3 linked regions of the Daphnia pulex genome follow. Each later gene encodes a partner of the first gene's protein in a complex. Links are inferred from orthologs where the notes say so. Each region holds a gene or a part of one and is shown in the gene's direction. Other genes may lie near its edges. The genes, in order: replication protein A 70 kDa DNA-binding subunit-like, cell cycle checkpoint control protein RAD9A-like and DNA replication ATP-dependent helicase/nuclease DNA2-like.

Region 1 (6,504 bases):
CACTTCCGTGTCAATTTCGTCTACAGACTTGACGGTTGTATATTCCCTCATCGCTATATAGTTTGCCCTATCTCGTTGGTTTTTTCAACAAAAATGAAGGCTTAAATATTGTATCACCAGCGCTATATACATGTAAAAGCATTCGGTGGTATATAGCAGTCACATATCTATTTAGATCGTCGTCGCCACACATGTTTAAAAGAGGGCAAATAACCCCTGGACAGAGGCATTGAAGCTTATCGGAATGAAAGAAAAGTGACACATGTGTGTGTGTGTTTTCTTCTGGATCGGTGCCGCCGCTTCCGTCATCAACTGTACACGTCCAACCAACTGGCTCTCGAGTTCCATTTTTTTCGGGCATTTTTTGAAACCGATTCGCGCAAAACCAACGACACTTAATTCGGGGAAATAAAAACCTGCTGCTAGTTTTATCTTTTGGTTGGTTTTATCAAAAAGAGATTACATTCATTGCAGCCTGGCTCACTTATTGTCTTCTTTAAACTATACGATAAATTCTTACAACAAGTTTTCAATTATCATTCGTCGATTAAAAACCAGCGATTGGTTTCGCGTAATTTGTATTTCCTTGTTTTGAGGTGAGAGGGAAATATTTCTTAGTGAAGGGTAGACATTTGAAGATTTAGTGTAGCAATATGTGGATGAGGAGGGCCACAAGAGAACAATGTCCATCTAGTGGCTGGTTTTTTAGTCTAAGAAAAGAAATACACTAGAAATGAGGCATGACAAGGTTTGTATTTGTGTGGGATGAATGCGACGATAACATGGGGGCCATTCAAAGCAGATTTTTCACGATATAAAAACAATGGGACCGCACGTACAGTGTAAAAGACTGGACAACTGAATAGGTTAGCTAAATATGGAAGCAAACAGGGGTCCGCTGTAGACAATTGTAGATTAAAAAGGAAACGTACGGGGTGAACATACATCGAATTCGATCATGCAAAAACCCCCACATAATCAAAATTTCTATTTGCTGGTTTCCGGATCGGCAGCCTTCGCCTCGGAGTCTTGAGATTTAATTTCCAAATTTTTAAATTGCTTGGCCAACTTGTCGCACTCCTTTTTGTGGATAGACCAGTGCAACTTTTGACAATCGCGGTTGCAATATTGCACAGATTTGCATATGGAACACTTGCTGGCTACCTTCTCTTGGCCGCAAGTGGCACAGGCGTCGTCATCTTGAAATCCACGCTGACCGTTGATGCAGGAAGTGAGAAGATTGAGAGCTAGTGGAGTCTCCTCTTTTGTCTTGGACAGATTGACCAGCAACTGGCGGAAGATGGTCGTCTCCTTGAAAGGGAAAGTGCGGATCGACTCGCGGATGAAGTTGTCCATAAACTCGGGAAAACCATCGGATTGACGTTGCTTCAAAAATGCTTTAACATATTGATTTAATAACTCCAAAACGGTTTTGTCGGGGTGCTGCTGCTGCTCTTTGGCCATTCTTTCGACTAGGAAACGCAAATAGTGGTATTTAAGTGCGAGGATCTCGTTGACTTCTTGGCTGCGCTTCATCTGATTTTCGCTAAGTATCTCCAAGACGTTTTTCACTTTTGTGAGGTTATCGTAAAGCAAAGGAAGTTTTTGAATAGTCAACAAAAGGTGAACTGGATGCAGATTGACCTGATAAATCAAACAAAACAAAAAGTTCAAGTGCTTTTCCGTGGCAGAATAAGAAATGAAGTGATGTGTCTATTCAAGTGCACAACCTGCATCACAAATTTGTGCAAAGCTGGTGCAGCAGCTGGTGGCAATTTTGGCTCAGTTTGATCGCTAGGAGCTACAGTGTACTGCTCTATTTCTGAGCGTGGAATGAAATTGTTGATGATGGAAACAACTGTGTGATTCCCTGGTTTGCCAAAATAATTCATTTTAGTTTTGGATGATTTGTACAAACATTATGATTGACTAGCCTACCTACAAATGCAGCCATTTGAGCTGCAGTTCTGCCTACTGAGTTAACCACATCAGGTTTACAACCACACTGAAGTAATTGTTGACAAATATCCAAATTTCCAGACAGAGCTGCAAAATGAAGGGAAGTATACTTGTGTTCATGATGACCTCCATTGGCATCAGCTCCCTTCGAGAAAAAAAGTCAACTTTTCAATCAAATTAACAACATTGATAATATAGTTAGACTTACCAGGTCAAGGAGCAACTGGCAAATATCTTTTTTCCCTTTAAAAGCGGCATGTTGCAGTAATGTCATTCCATGCTCATCCTCATCGTCAATTTCAACGTCCCGGGATTTTATAAGTTCTTGCAAACCACTAGTATCATTGTTGTTAATCTTGTCAATAGCTTTAATAAAGTTTTCCGAAATCATTTTTCGAGATTCTTTGGCAATTAACTCGTTTTTGAAGGAAATCAAATAATTCAGTCACAAATTTTCATATAACGATATAGTTTCCGTTGTCGTCTGCAACTGTTGCTATAACAACCGGACATTTCGAAAAACAAAAAATCCAACAACGCCAAAAATGCGAATAAAACGAAAACTTATTTTTGCTTCGTATGAACCTTTATTTCAGAAAAAAAACTTTTTCATTATTTTTCTTCTTTATATTTTTAGTGGTCTTCATTGAGTTAAAAAGTTTCTTAAACATTCAACGCTGCACGTTCAGCCTTGGTTTCGTTTGTACCACTGTTGTTTTCCCGCCATCGCACTTCGTCGTCTTGTCCGTAAAAACTGCTTAAAAAAATTCAAGCACGTTGACTGAACGAAGTAATCCCCGTTAAAAAAGGTTCCGTAAAATGAACAGAAGAAATCACCCAGCACTAACCAGCGGCGCAATTCCGGTAATATCAATCATAATTTCGAATTTTTGAATAAAACTATAAATATCTTTATTTCGACATAGTCCATCATTGGGAATGGCCTGCACAATGAAACTCCAATTCTACAAGTTTTGGTAAGCAACGAGCAAGATTTTTTCTTCATTTGCAGCATTTTTACATTTTCTTCTCTTACAATAGGGTTACAAAAATCTTCAGGGAGACAATAATGACCGTTACAGAATTCTCATCTCTGATGGAAAGTATTCCTATGCATATGGAATGTTGGCAACACAACTAAATCATCTGATTGTGGATGGTCAGCTTGAGAACTTTACCATCATTAGAGTAAAAAAGTTTGTTGTTAACAAAGTTGCTACTAAGGCAACTGCAGGCAAGGACCAAAAGAAAATTATCATTCTTTTGGATGTTGAGCCAATTGTGCCTGGAAGTGAAGTATGTTCACTTTACTTAGTTTCGAAATACAAATAAGGATATCTCTTCATTTTGAACATTTTTTGTTTAGGTTGGAGAAAAAATAGGAAACCCTCAGACTCTTAATGATGTTGGAGAGGTTACTGAAGAGGCAGCAGCAAAACCTGCACCTTTAGGAAATGTGAACAATTACAATATGGGATCGAAGTCTGCACCACCTAACAAAACTGGTGGATATGGACAGCCAACAGAGAAGTCTGACATTATTACCCATCCGATTGTAAGCCTTACACCCTACCAAAACAAGTATGTTTGTTGAGAAATTTCAGTACAAGAAAAATTGAATCATTAACTTTGCTTGTTTGTAGGTGGACTGTAAAAGTGAGAATTATAAACAAGTCCGATATCCGTACGTGGAGCAATTCTCGAGGTGAAGGAAAGCTTTTCTCGATGGACATGGTGGATGAGACTGGTGAAATCCGTGCCACTGCATTCAATGCCGAGTGTGACAAGTTTTACCACATGATTGAGGTACATTTAATTCAAAAACAGTGTTTGAAGTTATTTATTTACATTGTTATTTTTCGTTGTAGATCGGCAAGATCTTTTACATTTCACAAGCACAACTGAAGGCAGCAAACAAACAGTACAGCAGTATGAGGAACGATTATGAAATGTCGTTCAACCAAAATACTACAGTATGAATGTTTTTCAATCGTCAATCGTACCAGCCTCAATTTTTTTTTCTTTTACTTATTTTTTAGGTAATTCCTTGCCACGATGATACATCAGATATCCCATCAATCTCCTTCAACTTTGTTCCCATTGATCAGCTACCTAGCCTGGACAAGGACAGTGTTATTGGTAAGTTGTCTTTTAGGTGCATTAACATTACAATTCTTCTATTTGAATGGTGCCTACGATATGACCGATTGACCGTGCTTTCAGATGTCATTGGTGTGGTTAAGTCAGCAAATGACGTCCGCGTTATCGTTTCCAAAACGACAAATAAAGAATTGAGGATGCGAGAAGTTCAGATGGTGGACAGTACCAACACAGAGGTATGACTGGATTCTTCGTTTAATTGTCGAGCCCAGTTAATTAATCATTCTTGTCTTCAAACATCAGGTTAATTTGACTTTATGGGGAAAAATGGGCGAGGAATTTGACGCTAGCTCCCAGCCTGTTGTAGCATTAAAAGGAGTGAAACTTTCTGATTTTGGAGGTCGTTCTCTAGGAACAGTCTCGTCTACTGTCGTGCAGGTAAAATCAAATGTAAGACTTTCTATTTCTCTACTATTCTACAGCGCATATTTTTAATAGATCAATCCTGACATGAATGAAGCTCACAAACTAAGAGGGTGGTACGATAACGGTGGCTCATCATCGGCCGCTTCTAGCATTTCGGCGAGTCGTGGCGCTGGCACTGGTGGTAGTGGTGGGTCGTATAAGACTTTCGCTGAAGCAAAATTCGAAAACCTGGGAAAAGATAAACCTGATTTCTACAGTGTTAAGGCTATGGTTGCTATGATCAACAAAGAAAGAGCGTTGTACATGGCTTGTCCCAGTGATGAATGCAACAAAAAGGTAAACATAAATATATAATAAAACAACTCATTTTTGACAATATTTGCGTTTCCCGCAGGTCATCGATCAAAACAATGGCCTCTATCGATGTGAGAAATGCCAGCGCGAATTCCAGGAATTCAAATGGCGCATGATGCTTTCGGTATGACAAAGATATTTTATGAAATCTATTTCTCTCAAAACAGCACTCGAAATTTGTTATAGGTCAATATCGCGGATGCCACGGACCAGCAATGGGTAACCTGCTTCCAAGAAACCGCTGAAACTCTTCTTGGTAATTTTGTTTTCGAACTAATGTTACGTTTAGCATATAATATTTATTTATTTGATTATAAATTTTAGGGAAATCCGCAGACGAGGTCGGTAGATTGAAGGATTCGGATAATAACGAATTTCAGAAAATTTTCGAAGAAGCTACTTTTAAGTGGTATGTCTTCCGCCTGAGAGTGAAAATGGAGACGTACAATGTAAGTCTATGAGCATTATGAATTTCGATCTTGTTATCTGTTGACGCTTTTACCTTTTCTTTAGGATGAAAGCCGCCTCAAAACAAATGTCTATGAAGTGAAGGAAATCAACTATAAAGAGCACAACGAGCGATTGATTCGAGAAATGAAAGAAATGGCTGCATCAGAATGAATGGATTTTCCCTTGCTCCTTATCTATTAAACTTATAAAAAACCTTCATTTTCGGATTATACAGGAACAATTCTTTATGAATTCCTGTTCTTGTGAATCAAATCGAGATCCCGGAAAAACCGTGTGTGTAACATGATAATAAATGATTTGCAAAATAAACATGGATATTACAAAAAATAATTTTTCAGACAACTGCAAATGTATTGTTTTTCGCAGCTCATGTGCAATGAAATATTTCAACCATCAAGAGAGGCAAAGATAGAAATGAAAATAAATGAAGATCACAGTGCAGCTCTCACTGCTCTACAATGAAGTGAAGAGGGAAAGAGGGGGGACCAGTTCAAAATTTTAACTCTGCCTCTTCTCAAGTGTTTATGATGAAAACAGAAAACATTTAATCACTTGGTCTCTTCTCACTGTTTTTTTTTGTAAACTCTTCTGCATTCTTCATGAATTTCTTTTTGTCTTTGGAATACTCTTCAGCAAGATCAGCCCTAAGTGGATGTTCAGGCTCTGGATCATTAACCAAGGCAACCAGCGCTTGTATCACTTGATCAGTTTTGGTGGCAGGCTTCCAGTTTTCAGCACTTATTATGGGCAAACAGACCTGAAAGAAATAAACACACAATAATAAGTATGGCAAAAATTCCAAAAGGCAAATGTTTTTAAGACCTAACAGAAATTGCCAGACAAATAAGATATTTACAAGGTTAACATTGAAATTTTTACCTGTCCCTTTTCATCAATATTTGGATGATAGATTTTTGTCTTGAACGCAATTTTTGGTGGTTTGAATGGATACTCAGCAGGGAAATTTATTTCAATCCGAAAAGCTCCTTTATTGTAGGGAGCATTTTCCTATGAAAAATATATGATGGCTTGTAACCAAGGTAATTCAATCAATATTCATCTAAAAAATTCAGACTCACAGGAACAATAAGTCCATGCCAAGTCAAAATGTTTTGTTCATCAACTTGAATGTCGCGAAAAGATTTCAACCCAGACTTCTTGATGTCTTCCAATTCCTTTGACCACACAGAGAAT
Region 2 (6,261 bases), on another chromosome or scaffold:
ACTTCTCAGATTGAAGTATTGGAACCAATTGTGAAGCAAACAACAGGTTTGTCAAAATGTTCACATACTAGAGACATTCTTGAATCTTGGTTTGCATTTGTATTCAGATGCACTAAGTACTGTAACCCCTAAAGTTAAAGAGCTAGCAGATGGTTTGGACATCTATCGCCATCAGATTCGTCTAATTGATATCAATGAATTTAAAAAAGAAGAAACAGATGAATTGATCAAAGTTTTTAAGAACAGCACAACTCTATCCGATAACATTCAGGTGGAAAAGTTTGATGAGTTTATTAAAGCCGCAAGCGTAATTTCTGATCTAAACGGAACTACTGCTATGCAAATTGGAATCATGGAGGAGTATGTCTGCGTTATTTAAAAAAAAAACTCTTTGTCTAGGTCGAAATAAATTATTTTCTGTTTTAGATGCCAGAATATGATGTCGCAATCGATTACTCGGCTTGGCCAAGAACTAACACTGAGAGATACAAAAACGGACTTTAGAAAATTAAGCGATTTGGATGTATAAAAGTTACGTTTTGTTTATATTGTAAGATTATTTCTGTCATGATAATTAAATACTTTGATAGAAATCCAACCATTTCCTGTCATTTGTTTCTTACTGCGCTTCTATTAATGGGTAGGTTAATCCCCAAAACCATGTTGTTTGTATCTATGAAATAGCGGGAAACATTTAATAAGCATCGTTTTGGTTCTTTTTTAACTTTTTTCCATAGGAATAACATTTTCTATATATTTAACGAGCAGCATAAAAATAATTAATAAACTACGGCACTGCAAGATTCAAATTAATTTAAAAAAATTCAGTTAAGAAAAGGAATATAGGTTTTTTGTCCCAGTCGAACAAAACGTTTTTCAATGAATTTAAAATTTAAATTACAAACGACAATTTTAATATATTCGAAGTTTATTCATTGATAAATTTTGGTGATAAAATTAACACGGCGTATCTTTGATTTTAATAAGTAAGCGGAGTAGATATTGAAGCAAGGTACGAATAATACAACGTTCAGCATTTCTATTGTTTGAAATTTTGAAATTGAAAAGCTTCGTGTAATTAGGAAAAAGGTAAATTTTGGCATACAAGATGCAACAACCAAATTTGCCAAAAATGAATATGAAATTTAACACACAGAAAGAACCAATTGCCTCTTCATAGTAAGAACATTAGCTTAAAAGTGGCTGTATCTCCCCAAGTATGCTTTGCAATTTGGACAAGCATGATGAACATTCATGCACTCAGGAATACAGCAGGGGATAAGGCAACAGCCCAACCAACATCTGGTAATAAAAATATATGTGTTATATCAATGTGTAACTCTTAAGAAATTGCTGACTGTGTAATACCCAAATAGAACTAAAAGACCTCCAGAAAGCCAGGCAATCAGACCAGGTTCAGTACGCACAGAAGTGTCAATTTCAGCATGGCAATGTGGACAGACCTGTAAAGAAAGAAGATAGAGAAAATAAAATATATAATTAACTGTGGAGGGAAAAACTAACAGTGTGTGTTGTTCCGGGTCCAACAGGTATCACGGTTGTCACAATAATAGGCTGCTGGTTGGTTACATCTATTAAAAGAGATAAACATTGTGATTTTGAATGTGAGGCACATTTCCCATTAAAAGTTAAAATACTAAAAAAATGCTTTACTTTGATGAGGAGTAAAGGGGCTTGATGGATTAACACCACCCACTGCTTCCATGTAAGAAGGAGGGGCAGCTGGAGGAGGACCTTGTTTACTCATCTGTGAAATAGTTTATGGAGAATCCAATGAATTATTGGTAAATTGGTAATCAGAATATCAGACCAACATTAACTTCAATGTTTTGTATTCTGAATCATGAAAGAGTTTAAATTTTATTTGTTATTACCTTAGAAAGTCATGCAGTACAAGTAAGTTATTCACAAACGTTTACACTCTGTGCTCTAGTTAACACTACACAGCTGTTCTTAAGCTCCGCCCCATGACTTTTCAGAATGTAATCAGCAGGAATTGGACAGCGGAAAAGCTGATGTAATTGAAAGTCTTCCAATGTTTCAGAATGTTATAATTGAAAACCATTGATAAATCAAGGGGAAAAAAAATTTCCTTGAAGTACCTCAGCAGATAAGACCGTCTTCTTTATCTATGGTTAAAAGTACAATCAAGTTTCAGTGACTTGCAGATGTGGCCGAAATAATACGAGTCACGCTCGTCACTTGTTTCATTTGTTTACATCTTCAGTGAAGATAAAATCTCAACAGCCAATCGGGGCATACTTGAAAAAATTCATTTCCGTGTCGTCTGCGTGCTAAACATTCTAAACGTGTTATCCGGGACATGGGGTTACCGATATAATTTCTGGCGGCATTTCGAATTTTTTTTTAGTGCAAACAACTAAATTTACATTGAAGTAAAGAAAAATGAAATGTCTTTTGGATGCAACCAGTGTTAAGGGTACGACATGATGTTTCATTTGATTGTACTAAAGCAGTTGAAAGCTAAAACACTTTCTTTTATTCTTTAGTTTTGGCGCGAGCCATACACTCATTGGCTAAGATAGGTGATGAATTGCACATTTCACCAATGGAAAATGGATTAACTCTGAAGACCGTCAATGCTTCCAAATCTGCCTATTCAGCTTTCAATTTTCACCTACCTTTTTTTCTTGACTACACGCACATAAGTGAAAATACTGTTCACGCTGATCCAGAAGAAGATACTGTGATTAAATGTAAACTTCCCATGAAGGTCTGACAAATAACTTTAATGTGAAGTATTGTGTGTTTACAATGATGTTTTGTTTCCAGTCCATCTTGTCTGTATTTAGGTCGATCGGAAGCTTGGAAAAATCAGTTGAAACATGTAAGATAATGCTACCACTTCTTGAGGCTCTGTTAATCATTGAGTTCAGGTGCAAACATGGAATTGTTAAGTACTTCAACTTAAGATACTTTGAATGTGAAAGTGTTGAAGTAAGTCCTTTGATTTGGTCTCGCCAGACTTTTAATGAAAATAACCTAAAAATTCATAGGCAGAATTCTCTAAGGAGGGTTACCCCAGTAAATTTTCCTGCTCTTCACGTTTTTACAATGAAACTCTTCAAAGTTTTCATTCAAGCACTCAAGAAGTTACTTGGTAATCCAACAACATAATTGTCATGTTTAAATAACCTCAAATTTCGTTTATTCTTTCAAGGTCCCTTGCAATGGATCAAGTACATTTGAGTAACCATATTGATGATGAAATAGACCCATCCAAATGTGTTCGTACGGAAGTCACGTTGGTCAAGGATGAATTCATTGAATTTAACGTCGCTCTGTGTACTCAAGTTACATTTTGCTTGAAGGAATTACGAGCTATTTTGGCCTTCGCAGAAGCCCTGAAACTCGATCTTGATTGTCGAATGGAAGGCGCCGGACAGTAAGCAATATTTCATTTTACTTGTGATTCAAAAGTTGCATCGATTATTTACGGAATTCCTTCTACCAGGCCTGTTTTGTTCAGTCTACAAAAGGATGACTTGTATTCAGCAGATTTTCTCCTTGCAACTCTAACGCCTGCTCTGGACACTACGGCATCCATTAGTTCGCGAACTGCCAAACACGAAATGTCAGTACAAGGCAATACCTCCAACCATCCGTCTCCTGTCCCTACCCTGAGGAATAAAACAGGTAACAAAACAGGCTTGAAAGGGAAGTCAGGATCTTGACATACATTGCTCTCCTCGTGAATTTTCTAGATTCCAGGACCATTTCGCGTGCCAATTTGGTCGATTCTAGGAACGGTTCTCGTGCAAGCACGACACACACTCGTTTACACACACCTTTGATACGACAAACGCCTGTTAACGAGGATCATACCCCACGTCTTAACAGTCTATCTCTTATCGAGCCCCATCCGTTTCCTGATATGGAAGTAGATTTGGAACCCGAAATTCAACCACCTCCTAATAAGAGAGCTCGGGCTCGCTACATATTTCAGAATTGTCTCAAGTTAACACAAGAATACAGAGAGCGACCAACTGAAGTCTTTGCTCCGGATTCAGAGGAAGATGAATAGCAAGAGACGAAATAACCCTTTCCCGGCTTTCCCCTCATCCAACGATTTTGTACATTTTTCTTTCGCCGAGTTAACTCAGTATTGTTTTGTGTCAGAATTTTGTAACGGTACATCACTGTATCCTATATAATGATCACAAAAGTTAAAGTGCCATTAAATGTTGATCAGTCCATTTTTTATTTATTCGTGCCATTTCAATGTCATTTTCAAATTATTTCTTTAGAAGCATGGACCGGAAATCGGCATTGCTCTTCGAAGCACTGGCGGGAACACTGACGGGTGGCGGCATGGTGGAAGACTGAGATGTCTGGCGAAGGACGGCGTTTGGAACAAACGACACTTGCGTTCTCCTTACCCGTGTTCCGCCACCCAAAGATAGTTCATCCTTGTCCAGGTTTCTGTCTTCGCGACGTGGAGGTGGATTGCTTAACGCAACCGTCAAAACTTTGTCCTGGAATGTAGTTCCGTCTGTCTGGTTCATAGCCATCGTCGCTGAAACTTCATCTTCGAATTCAACGTAAGCCAGACCTTTGGGCTTTCCTTTATATTTAATTAAATAGAAGTTAGTAAAGAAAAAATAAATTTAATTTAGATTATTAAACGCTACCGTTCCGTAACGTTACTAATCGAACGTCCTTCAGAATTCCAAATTTTTTAAACAGAGCTTCCAAGTCTTCTTTAGTAGTAGTGAAAGCTAAGCCTGTTATAACATCAAATAGATTTGGGATAAAAACAAATTAAGCTCGTACCTAAAGATCGCAAATACGTACCTTTGATAAACAGTTTTTTCTTTTCTAATGTTGACTGGTACTTGAAAGCTGGATGCTTCAATGCTGCGTCCGGTTCGCTTGGAGACATGAAAACCGGTCGTCCTTTCATGAGCTCACGGTCCCGCTTCAGAACTGCTCTCGCTTCATCCTAAGATAGTTTTAAATGAATTTAACGGACAAGCGTAGGAAATTTAATTATGGAAGTTTACTTGTGAAGAAAATTCGACAAAACAAAATCCTTTGCAACGTTGTTTGTAGTCCAGAACAAGACGTATGTCCGTTATGGTGCCGGAAGAACTCATCATGTTGCGTACATCTTGTTCAGATGTTTCGTAGGCCAGATTGCTTAAAAAGACCGTATTGGCATGACGGGAAGGATCGGTAACCGGTTTAGGAATGACAACGGGCTTGCTAGCAGGTTCGGTGGCGTTTACTTTAGGTTCAACTTTCTTTTTGGGAACAACTTTCGTACTAGTTGCTGCGGCATCATGGCTTATTTTAGGTTTTTTGGCAGGCACGGGTTTCGATTCTTTCGCATCTTCAATCTTTCCTCGTTTCCTACCTTTAGCCGTTTCTACTTCTTGAACCGTTTGCCCCTCTCTTTCTTTATTAACCTTCTTCATCCGAGCTTCACACCTGGCATATTTAAACAATTAAAATCAAAATTTTCAAAAGCTTTAAATTATTTTTCAGACCTCTGTTTAGCGATATCCATGGTTTGTAAGTCTCCTTCTTCGCGTTCAAATTGCAGCCATTGCTTAACGATCAACTCTGGCCAATCGGACGAAGAGACTCCATTTAGACTCTTCGTAAATAATTTGCGGACTTCTTCTTTATTGTTATCGTGTGTTCTGTTATAATAAGCATTGTGTTAATATAACTCTAATAGAATTAACTAATTAGATCAATAACCTTTCAAACTGAACACGAGCCAGCCACCACTGAGCAGATTTACTGTGTCCCCGGCTTATAATCTTGCTCCAGAGGTCTCGAGCTTTAGGCATATTATTCAGCTTTTTTGCTTCGAAATATGCCCAATATTGTAGCAGTGTACACTCCGGGTCTCCTTCGACATCATAAGCTACAAAACAAAAAAGTTATAGTTTTTATATTGGCGATTTCATTGGTCTTAGAAAAACTTACTTTGATCTAAATGTTCGGTCGCTCGTGTAAAAGCTTCACGAAGTTGAACGATGTTCTCATTGTCACTGTCACCCCATGTGCATTTTCGTACAAGGTATTCAATGAAACTCATCCAGACGGACAGCAAATCGGCCGCTGTTGCTAGTCCCGCATTGAAAGCCTTCTCTACTAAACCTGTTGAGTAAACCCTTGAATTATTAACGTAAAAAACAATATGAATGGTTATTATAATTCGCTATTTATCTACCTGCAATGAATCCATCCTCTTTTTTGTAGCGCTCG
Region 3 (6,604 bases), on another chromosome or scaffold:
TTTAGCATAGCATAGCAAGCAAAATAGCATTTTAAGTATATCACTTTAGCGACTCTTTATCTCTCTGATGCCATATTATTCGCTCTTTCAGTGGAAAAAAATATATTGTGTAAAAACCAAGCAACAACAACATCCTCTTTCTTTGTTTTTACATTACACAAGAACAGATTTCAGACTTGTACGATTCGCCCAACGTTAGGATCACAAAAGTCGCAACCTTTTAATACATTTGAAATTTTGAATATATAATATGAGGCATCGGTGTTAAGGTGAATGAACAACCATGTAAGTAACTCAGAAAAGTTGGACAAGATATGAGGTACTGCCGTCTTTCCATTTGGGATCTTCGGCTACCGTTGAACGACACATTGGGCATGTTCTTTCTCGATCCAACCACATGGACAAGCAGTCTTCGCAGAAGATGTGTTTACATGAAAGAAAGATTGGTTTCCTGTATCCATCGTGACAGATGGGACACATAGGGCCTGCGTTCTGAAGTTGTTCATTGGAAGGATGAGCCCCATAGCGCTGAATTATTAAGAAAAAGAAAAAATATTACATTCCAATAATGAGTGAAATGACGATGGTTCGATCTTACCGTGCTTTGAAGCAGTTTTGAAACTGAAAGCTTCCATTTTCTGACGAGCTTGATAGCTCTATAAGCTTTACAGGTTAAATATATCCCACACAAACAGACTCCAACGAGCGTATCATAGAAGAAAATGCTTGAACTTTCACTCGACTGACTGTTAAGAAGGTAGTGAATCCATGGTGGTACTGCTGCTAGGGCTCGGTAGAGGTGAGAAGATCTTTCGATGAAAGCGAAGCATTTTCCCTGGAAACAATAAAGAAAATCGTTCAGCAACAATAAAACATTAAAAAATTTAGTTTTCTCACCCGTCGAGAGATAGGAAACACGGCAATTGGAATGGCGGTAAGAATGCCTTTGAAAAGAACAGTAGCTAGTTTCAAAATATGGTCGGTTGTCGTCACGGCCCAAAATAAATTGGCTAGTGTTATTGGAGCGGAGTTAGGCATGAAAACCAAAAGACTAACATAAACATAAACAAATAAATTGGTATTATTATGAAATCAAACATACATTTCTTTTTTAGACAAACCTGTGGTATAATTCATTGTCGCCGCACAAAAAGTGCACAAGTAACACGCACGCAACAATATTTAGAGCTATGATTCCTAAAGGTTTCAATTCTCTCTTCCCTTGCTTAGAAACTTCCCTCTGTACAGTTCTATCAGCATGGATAAAAGTCACGACCAAAGCCAGAATAACAAGTATATCTAAGAAAAATGACAAGATTAATTAATATACATGTGAGCACAGTTATATAATAAAAATTGTTCTATTTACCTGAAGTATGTTTGTAAATTTCCTTAAATAAAATTAGGATTAAAAAAGGAATGTAAGCTAGAAGTGTCTGCAGAACACCATACATTTCTGGATTCTGTTCCAAAAATTGGTTGATTGCTGAGAATGGATTAGTTGATACATTGGGGGTGGCCTGAGTTGTAGGCGGGGTGGAAGGAATAGTCTGTTCATTTGAAGGTGATTGGTTTGAAACTGGATTATCTGAACCAGATATGTCTACAGTAGTTTCAATACTGTTGACTGGTTGTCCTTGACCAGGAGGTTCTGTTAGACTTTCTCCTTGACGTCCTTGCTGTGATCGCTGACCTTGCAGCCATTGTGAGAGAACTATTTGCTGATTATTGCCTTGTTGTATTTGAAATCTCCAGGAAGGACTAAATCATAAAACATGTAAGGCAAAGTTAAGGAATCAGGAAGTAAACATACTACCTCCCAAATGTGATTTGAAATGGAGGACTAGGAGGTGGTGGTCTACTTCCCATGTTTTCAAACTGCGTCAGCCTAGAAATTTGTAGGTCAGTTAAGAATTCATCCCATTTGAAAAACAAATATTGAATTACCTCTTTTTGCATATAAATCACACTCATGCACCAAAACTTTTCATTCCCCTCAATTGATATTCCTATTCGGCGAATCTTGCAGTAGATAACTCGGTACTTCAACTTTTCCGTTAAGGGTCAGATGATCATAAACATATACAAACAAGTAAACTGTGTAAATGCCGAAAACAGGCCAAAGTCACAAGTTTTATAGATTAAATCGTGTTACGAAATACTTTGGCACAGATAAACTTATACGTCAGCTAATTTTATTTAGTTTGAGTCTTTTACGTGACACGCACTAGTTCAGTCTTGAAAAACTTGCATCAGTTTATCTAGTAATGGTGAATGGTGAATTTTTGTTGTTTTTTTCACGATTTTTAACGCCACCTGCAGGTCGGAAGTGGATACGCCAAAATATTATTGGTTTAAAGGTTTCTCAGATGGCGCACTTAGTATTTTGCGGGTGTGTAGGTAACTAAATTGTCTGCCGCTTTCTGACAAAACATTTGTGATTTGGCGCGAATTGAACTCACGTGCAGTCGTGAATCCCGCATGACTACTTCTGCAACTTACTCGATCCAAGTCAAAAGTGTAAAATAAAACTATAGATTATTATTATTCCATAACTAGATACAAAATTAGGTCCTGTATGCGTTCGTGTTGTAATTAATAATGAAGAAACCAACGAAAAAAGATATTTATGGTCTTGGTAGACACAAAGTCTTAGAGTGCGACAAGACTGAAAATGGTAATGAACTGCGTCTTGTTGTTTCCCCATTAGACGAGACATACAAAACGAAGAAAATTTGCATGCTAAGAGACTTTTGGTAATGATCAAATTGATAGGTTTAGCTGATGGGAGTAATTTCTAATTTTTGTCTGTTTTCATTCAGGCTAGACACTGCTATCAAAGTGGGTGATGATGTCCATATACATGCAGATTGGTATGAATCATTTGATGAAAACTTTGAAAACTATGACTTGGCTATTGTTGATAGACAAAGTGGTCTCATCGTTGTCAAACCAGACCTGTTAGTGTCTGGAACTTCAGTTGTCTCTTCACTCTTTTGTCAACGCAAAGCAGTGCTTTCTGAAAGATTTCGTGGAATTGAGCCTACAAATCAGGTTATGCTCAATGGAACTATAGTCCATCGCCTTTTACAAAAAGTATGCAATTTTTTATTATTAAATTAATACTGTGTCATCAATATTGAATTTATGCCTTTATTTGCATTAGGCATTAATAGAAAAAACTTATGACACCTCTTCACTAAATAAAATAGCTGACAAATTACTTAGCGACCCTTCGACTATTCACGATCTATATGGGGCGAATATACCTAAGAGTCATCTGAAAAACAGTGTTTCCGAATACATTCCTATGATCAAAAATTTCATCGATAAGTACATCAATGCAACTCGACCCTGCGAAGTAAGCAAAAGAGACAACAGGCAACAGGTTGTCGGAAAAAGCGGGAAGTTTGGAAATTCCCCGACTATGTGGGACGGTCAAATCGATTCCGTCTGTGATATAGAAGAGAATATGTGGTCTCCATGGCTTGGCGTTAAGGGAAAGGTGGATTTTACTCTGAAGGTTGTAAACCTATTTCTATTTTTAAAAAAAGTTTATTCTTAACAAAATTATTTTAAAATTTTAAATAGGTTAACGATAAAAAGCTTGGACGAGTCAAGATGCCTTTAGAGTTAAAGACTGGGCGTTCGTCCTTCTCCGCGGAGCACAAAGGACAAGTTACTCTTTATTCAATGATGATGAACCAGCAGACCGGTGTTAAAAAAGCAACAGATGAAAATCCAGGTGGTTTATTACTTTACCTCAAAGACGGTGCCATCCAACACGTACCTGCCGGCCATAGCGAGAAACAGGGTCTCGTTCAGTTGAGAAACGAAATGGTCAAGTACTTAACATCGCCTACCTCGATCTCGGAAAACGGAGAAATCTCCGAGGGTCAACTTCCTTCACGAATTGATCGCGTGAATATGTGTGCTTCATGTCCATTACGGGTTGAATGCACCGTCTATCAGGTAAGATCTTTAATTCTGTTGTAGAAAATGTCTTGTCAATACTAAAATAAATATTTCCCGAAAAGATTGCTGAAGATGCCGACAATGAAAGCATGTCTTCGACGCCCTTACCTCTCGAGTCGGTTGCTCATTTAAGTTCTGCATATCAGGACTACTTTTTACATTGGTCGAAAATGCTGCGACTTGAATCTGAAGAATCCCAGCATCGTTCTCGTTCCATCAGCGATATTTGGTGCATAGATCCAGTTGATAGAGAAGCTCAGGGAAATTGCATCAGTTTTCTTAAGGTATTCCTCTTTCTCTTATTTTTTTTTTTCACTTTTCCGTTATAAACATTTGTGATGTCTTCTCAAGGTTCAAGATTGCCTTGCGTCGCAAAATCCTACCTCAGATTTCAATCAATATACAATCCAGCTTATTCCGGTTAATCGCAGTCATCTACCTATTAACACATTACTGCTACGAGGTGACAGCGTGGTGCTCAGTACTGATAAAGAAGTGGCCGTTGCCACTGGCTGTCTAGTTGACATCAGTCCCAGTTCTATTACTGTCTCTACCGACCGGAATGTTCACAATTGGGATCGAAATTTCGAGGTGCTTATTGAATCGTGTCACACTGGAAAAATGGCAACAGCTAATATTTTCTTTTGCATTGTTTAGGTCCTCCACTTGGATAAACTTGAGTATCAAGGCGGCCAAACGCTCTTATATTCGAACCTCAGTCGACTGATGGCAAACAATGCAAATGCCGTCCGGCTGCGGGAGTTAATCATTGATAAAAAAGTTCCTGTTTTTAAAGCCGGCTTGCCGAAAAGTTTGCTTGAAGTTTTCTGGCCCGTTTTGAAACCCTTGAATGGATTCCAGAGAAGAGCTGTGCTAAAAGCTCTGACTTGCGAAGATTATTGCCTTATCAACGGTCTACCCGGCACTGGAAAGACTTCTCTCATTGTGGCTTTGATACGACTGGCCGTCCTGCTTAAACAGTCCGTACTCCTGACGAGCTACACTCACTCGGCCGTCGACAACGTCTTGCTCAAGCTCTGCCAATTTAATGATGTGGAGTTTGTTCGGATCGGCCGCGAGCATCGCACCCACCCTTCCATATTGCCCTACAGTGCCGAAGTCAAAACCCAAACTTGTCACACAGTGGAAGAGTTAGAAAATGTTTACAGGTAAATCGACTGAGTTATTTTTTCTTAATCAAAATTTTTAATCTGCTATGTGTTTAAAATTACAGCGTGCCAGTGGTAGCTGCAACTTGCCTAAGTGTCGGCCATCCAGCTTTAATTCGTCGCAGATTCGATTTGTGCATTGTCGACGAAGCAGCTCAAGCCTTACAGCTGGCTGTCATCGGACCACTTACTGCAGCCAAAAGATTTGTTCTTGTTGGCGATCCTCTTCAACTCCCACCAGTCGTCCAAAGTCGATCAGCCAAGTAATTATTTTTATTTACTCTCTAAAATTAAGCATTAAAATCAATTTCCTCAATGGAAAACGTGTATTTCTCGATCTCGGTAACTCGAGATTTCAGTCAACGCTGGTAGGAATGCAATGATTTGAGGGGGAATTTAATGGAATTCAAGTGTTCGTGATGGTTGAAATGCTGGTTACGGCAGATTTTGGTCCGTTCTACCAAGATCGTACTACCACGGAGCCGTAAGGAGCAGCATAAGGAGCATAGTGGTACGACGGGTAAGGATAAGGCGAGTAGGCATAACTGTATGGGCTGAATGGAGCAGGTGCAACTGCGTGTCATAATTCAAATAGGATAAGTTAATTGTTAAAAAGACAATTTAAAATGTAAAAAGCGGTTTACCTGGAGCGACGTGGCCTCCAGCATGTTTCACTACTGTCGGTTTCTCAACTGTTTTTATTGAAGAAAAATTGCTCAGTCATGATGTACTTTTTGAGGGGGGGGGGTGATTTTTAAATATAAAATTACTCACCCTTCACCAACGGGGTGGACGGCGCAACATGAATAGGTGCTACCGGAATTGGTGCGGCAGCAACTGCGATAAAAATAGACGGTTTCAAGAGAAACTCGACAAAGAATCAAGAATTGTGCTTACTGGCGATGGGAGCGTAGCTAATCGGGACTTTGGGTGCTTTTCCCACAAGAGGCAGAAGTGGTCCGTTAGAAGGGGCCAAGGAAGAGCGGAATCCGTTCGCATCTGCGATGTAGTTGTTAGTCACGACGCTTCCGTCCGGATTAGAGTAACTGCATTGTACCGTCAACATTAAGATTTTTTTTTTCCCCTTTACGAATAACATTTATTTGCTTACGTGTATGATCCGCGAACGATGCCAAATGCGTCCTTGGTCTCACTCCGCACTTGGTTAGGTTCGTGATAGCCAAAAGAATACTGACCCAGCTCGTCTTGAGCATGGTATTTACCCTGAGTGGCCACTGGAACAGGTCCGTACTGTACGTACGTTGGGCTAGGAACAGCTTGAGCGGCAGCGATCGCCAAAACAATGCAAATCTGTTTAAGAAATTTTATTAATTTCATAGTCAAATGTGAGACTCTTAGAGTGAATCAAGAATTTACCAAGAACTGCATCTTTGTGGAGAGAGTGGACTGGTTGAGCGTAAGAAATGTATTGTGGAACTGAATGTAATTTCATCCGCTTC

The links.
Region 2: the proteins of replication protein A 70 kDa DNA-binding subunit-like (region 1) and cell cycle checkpoint control protein RAD9A-like are in contact, whole or in part, in a crystal structure (PDB 8JZY), measured with the Homo sapiens proteins. The link is inferred for Daphnia pulex from reciprocal best matches to the Homo sapiens genes RPA1 and RAD9A. Residues at the interface, in NP_002936.1 of Homo sapiens: Asn29, Arg31, Ile33, Arg41, Arg43, Leu44, Leu45, Ser54, Ser55, Phe56, Met57, Asn85, Leu87, Lys88, Asp89, Arg91, Val93; in NP_004575.1 of Homo sapiens: Asp297, Phe298, Ala299, Asn300, Asp301, Asp302, Ile303, Asp304, Tyr306, Met307, Ile308, Met310.
Region 3: the proteins of replication protein A 70 kDa DNA-binding subunit-like (region 1) and DNA replication ATP-dependent helicase/nuclease DNA2-like are in contact, whole or in part, in a crystal structure (PDB 5EAY), measured with the Homo sapiens proteins. The link is inferred for Daphnia pulex from reciprocal best matches to the Homo sapiens genes RPA1 and DNA2. Residues at the interface, in NP_002936.1 of Homo sapiens: Asn29, Ile30, Arg31, Ile33, Arg41, Arg43, Leu44, Leu45, Ser54, Ser55, Met57, Asn85, Leu87, Lys88, Arg91, Val93, Ile95; in NP_001073918.2 of Homo sapiens: Glu6, Leu7, Glu8, Leu10, Met11, Lys13, Ser14, Phe15, Trp16.

What each region holds. Positions count from the first base shown.
Region 1 is NC_060017.1:3,018,556-3,025,059, reverse strand, and holds replication protein A 70 kDa DNA-binding subunit-like, read left to right. Parts: upstream 1-2,654; 5' UTR 2,655-2,778; coding exon 2,779-2,823; intron 2,824-2,885; coding exon 2,886-2,936; intron 2,937-3,000; coding exon 3,001-3,255; intron 3,256-3,325; coding exon 3,326-3,540; intron 3,541-3,602; coding exon 3,603-3,765; intron 3,766-3,827; coding exon 3,828-3,932; intron 3,933-3,998; coding exon 3,999-4,098; intron 4,099-4,182; coding exon 4,183-4,295; intron 4,296-4,362; coding exon 4,363-4,497; intron 4,498-4,557; coding exon 4,558-4,821; intron 4,822-4,879; coding exon 4,880-4,963; intron 4,964-5,025; coding exon 5,026-5,095; intron 5,096-5,163; coding exon 5,164-5,288; intron 5,289-5,352; coding exon 5,353-5,460; 3' UTR 5,461-5,640; downstream 5,641-6,504. Other genes in the region: ankyrin repeat and MYND domain-containing protein 2-like, read right to left, coding at 988-1,644, 1,731-1,870, 1,939-2,104, 2,168-2,350; ubiquitin-conjugating enzyme E2 L3, read right to left, coding at 5,855-6,067, 6,190-6,318, 6,390-6,485. UniProt on the Homo sapiens protein: As part of the heterotrimeric replication protein A complex (RPA/RP-A), binds and stabilizes single-stranded DNA intermediates that form during DNA replication or upon DNA stress.
Region 2 is NC_060026.1:14,698,324-14,704,584, forward strand, and holds cell cycle checkpoint control protein RAD9A-like, read left to right. Parts: upstream 1-2,219; 5' UTR 2,220-2,427; coding exon 2,428-2,461; intron 2,462-2,531; coding exon 2,532-2,755; intron 2,756-2,814; coding exon 2,815-2,979; intron 2,980-3,038; coding exon 3,039-3,142; intron 3,143-3,202; coding exon 3,203-3,427; intron 3,428-3,496; coding exon 3,497-3,690; intron 3,691-3,746; coding exon 3,747-4,066; 3' UTR 4,067-4,238; downstream 4,239-6,261. Other genes in the region: uncharacterized protein LOC124203995, read left to right, coding at 1-46, 108-360, 427-529; lipopolysaccharide-induced tumor necrosis factor-alpha factor homolog, read right to left, coding at 1,194-1,302, 1,369-1,463, 1,525-1,592, 1,675-1,768; squamous cell carcinoma antigen recognized by T-cells 3-like, read right to left, coding at 4,278-4,606, 4,674-4,766, 4,837-4,984, 5,046-5,472, 5,532-5,687, 5,749-5,917, 5,980-6,153, 6,227-6,261. UniProt on the Homo sapiens protein: Component of the 9-1-1 cell-cycle checkpoint response complex that plays a major role in DNA repair. The 9-1-1 complex is recruited to DNA lesion upon damage by the RAD17-replication factor C (RFC) clamp loader complex.
Region 3 is NC_060028.1:7,928,955-7,935,558, reverse strand, and holds the start of DNA replication ATP-dependent helicase/nuclease DNA2-like, read left to right. Parts: upstream 1-2,288; 5' UTR 2,289-2,601; coding exon 2,602-2,756; intron 2,757-2,822; coding exon 2,823-3,096; intron 3,097-3,166; coding exon 3,167-3,523; intron 3,524-3,591; coding exon 3,592-3,972; intron 3,973-4,037; coding exon 4,038-4,259; intron 4,260-4,326; coding exon 4,327-4,566; intron 4,567-4,632; coding exon 4,633-5,144; intron 5,145-5,209; coding exon 5,210-5,407; intron 5,408-5,451; exon of another isoform or gene 5,452-5,601; coding exon of another isoform or gene 5,602-5,717; intron 5,718-5,788; coding exon of another isoform or gene 5,789-5,836; intron 5,837-5,918; coding exon of another isoform or gene 5,919-5,981; intron 5,982-6,041; coding exon of another isoform or gene 6,042-6,190; intron 6,191-6,255; coding exon of another isoform or gene 6,256-6,455; intron 6,456-6,521; coding exon of another isoform or gene 6,522-6,533; exon of another isoform or gene 6,534-6,604. Other genes in the region: RING finger and transmembrane domain-containing protein 2-like, read right to left, coding at 295-528, 599-835, 898-1,051, 1,122-1,299, 1,370-1,761, 1,817-1,869; cuticle protein 6-like, read right to left, coding at 5,602-5,717, 5,789-5,836, 5,919-5,981, 6,042-6,190, 6,256-6,455, 6,522-6,533. UniProt on the Homo sapiens protein: Key enzyme involved in DNA replication and DNA repair in nucleus and mitochondrion.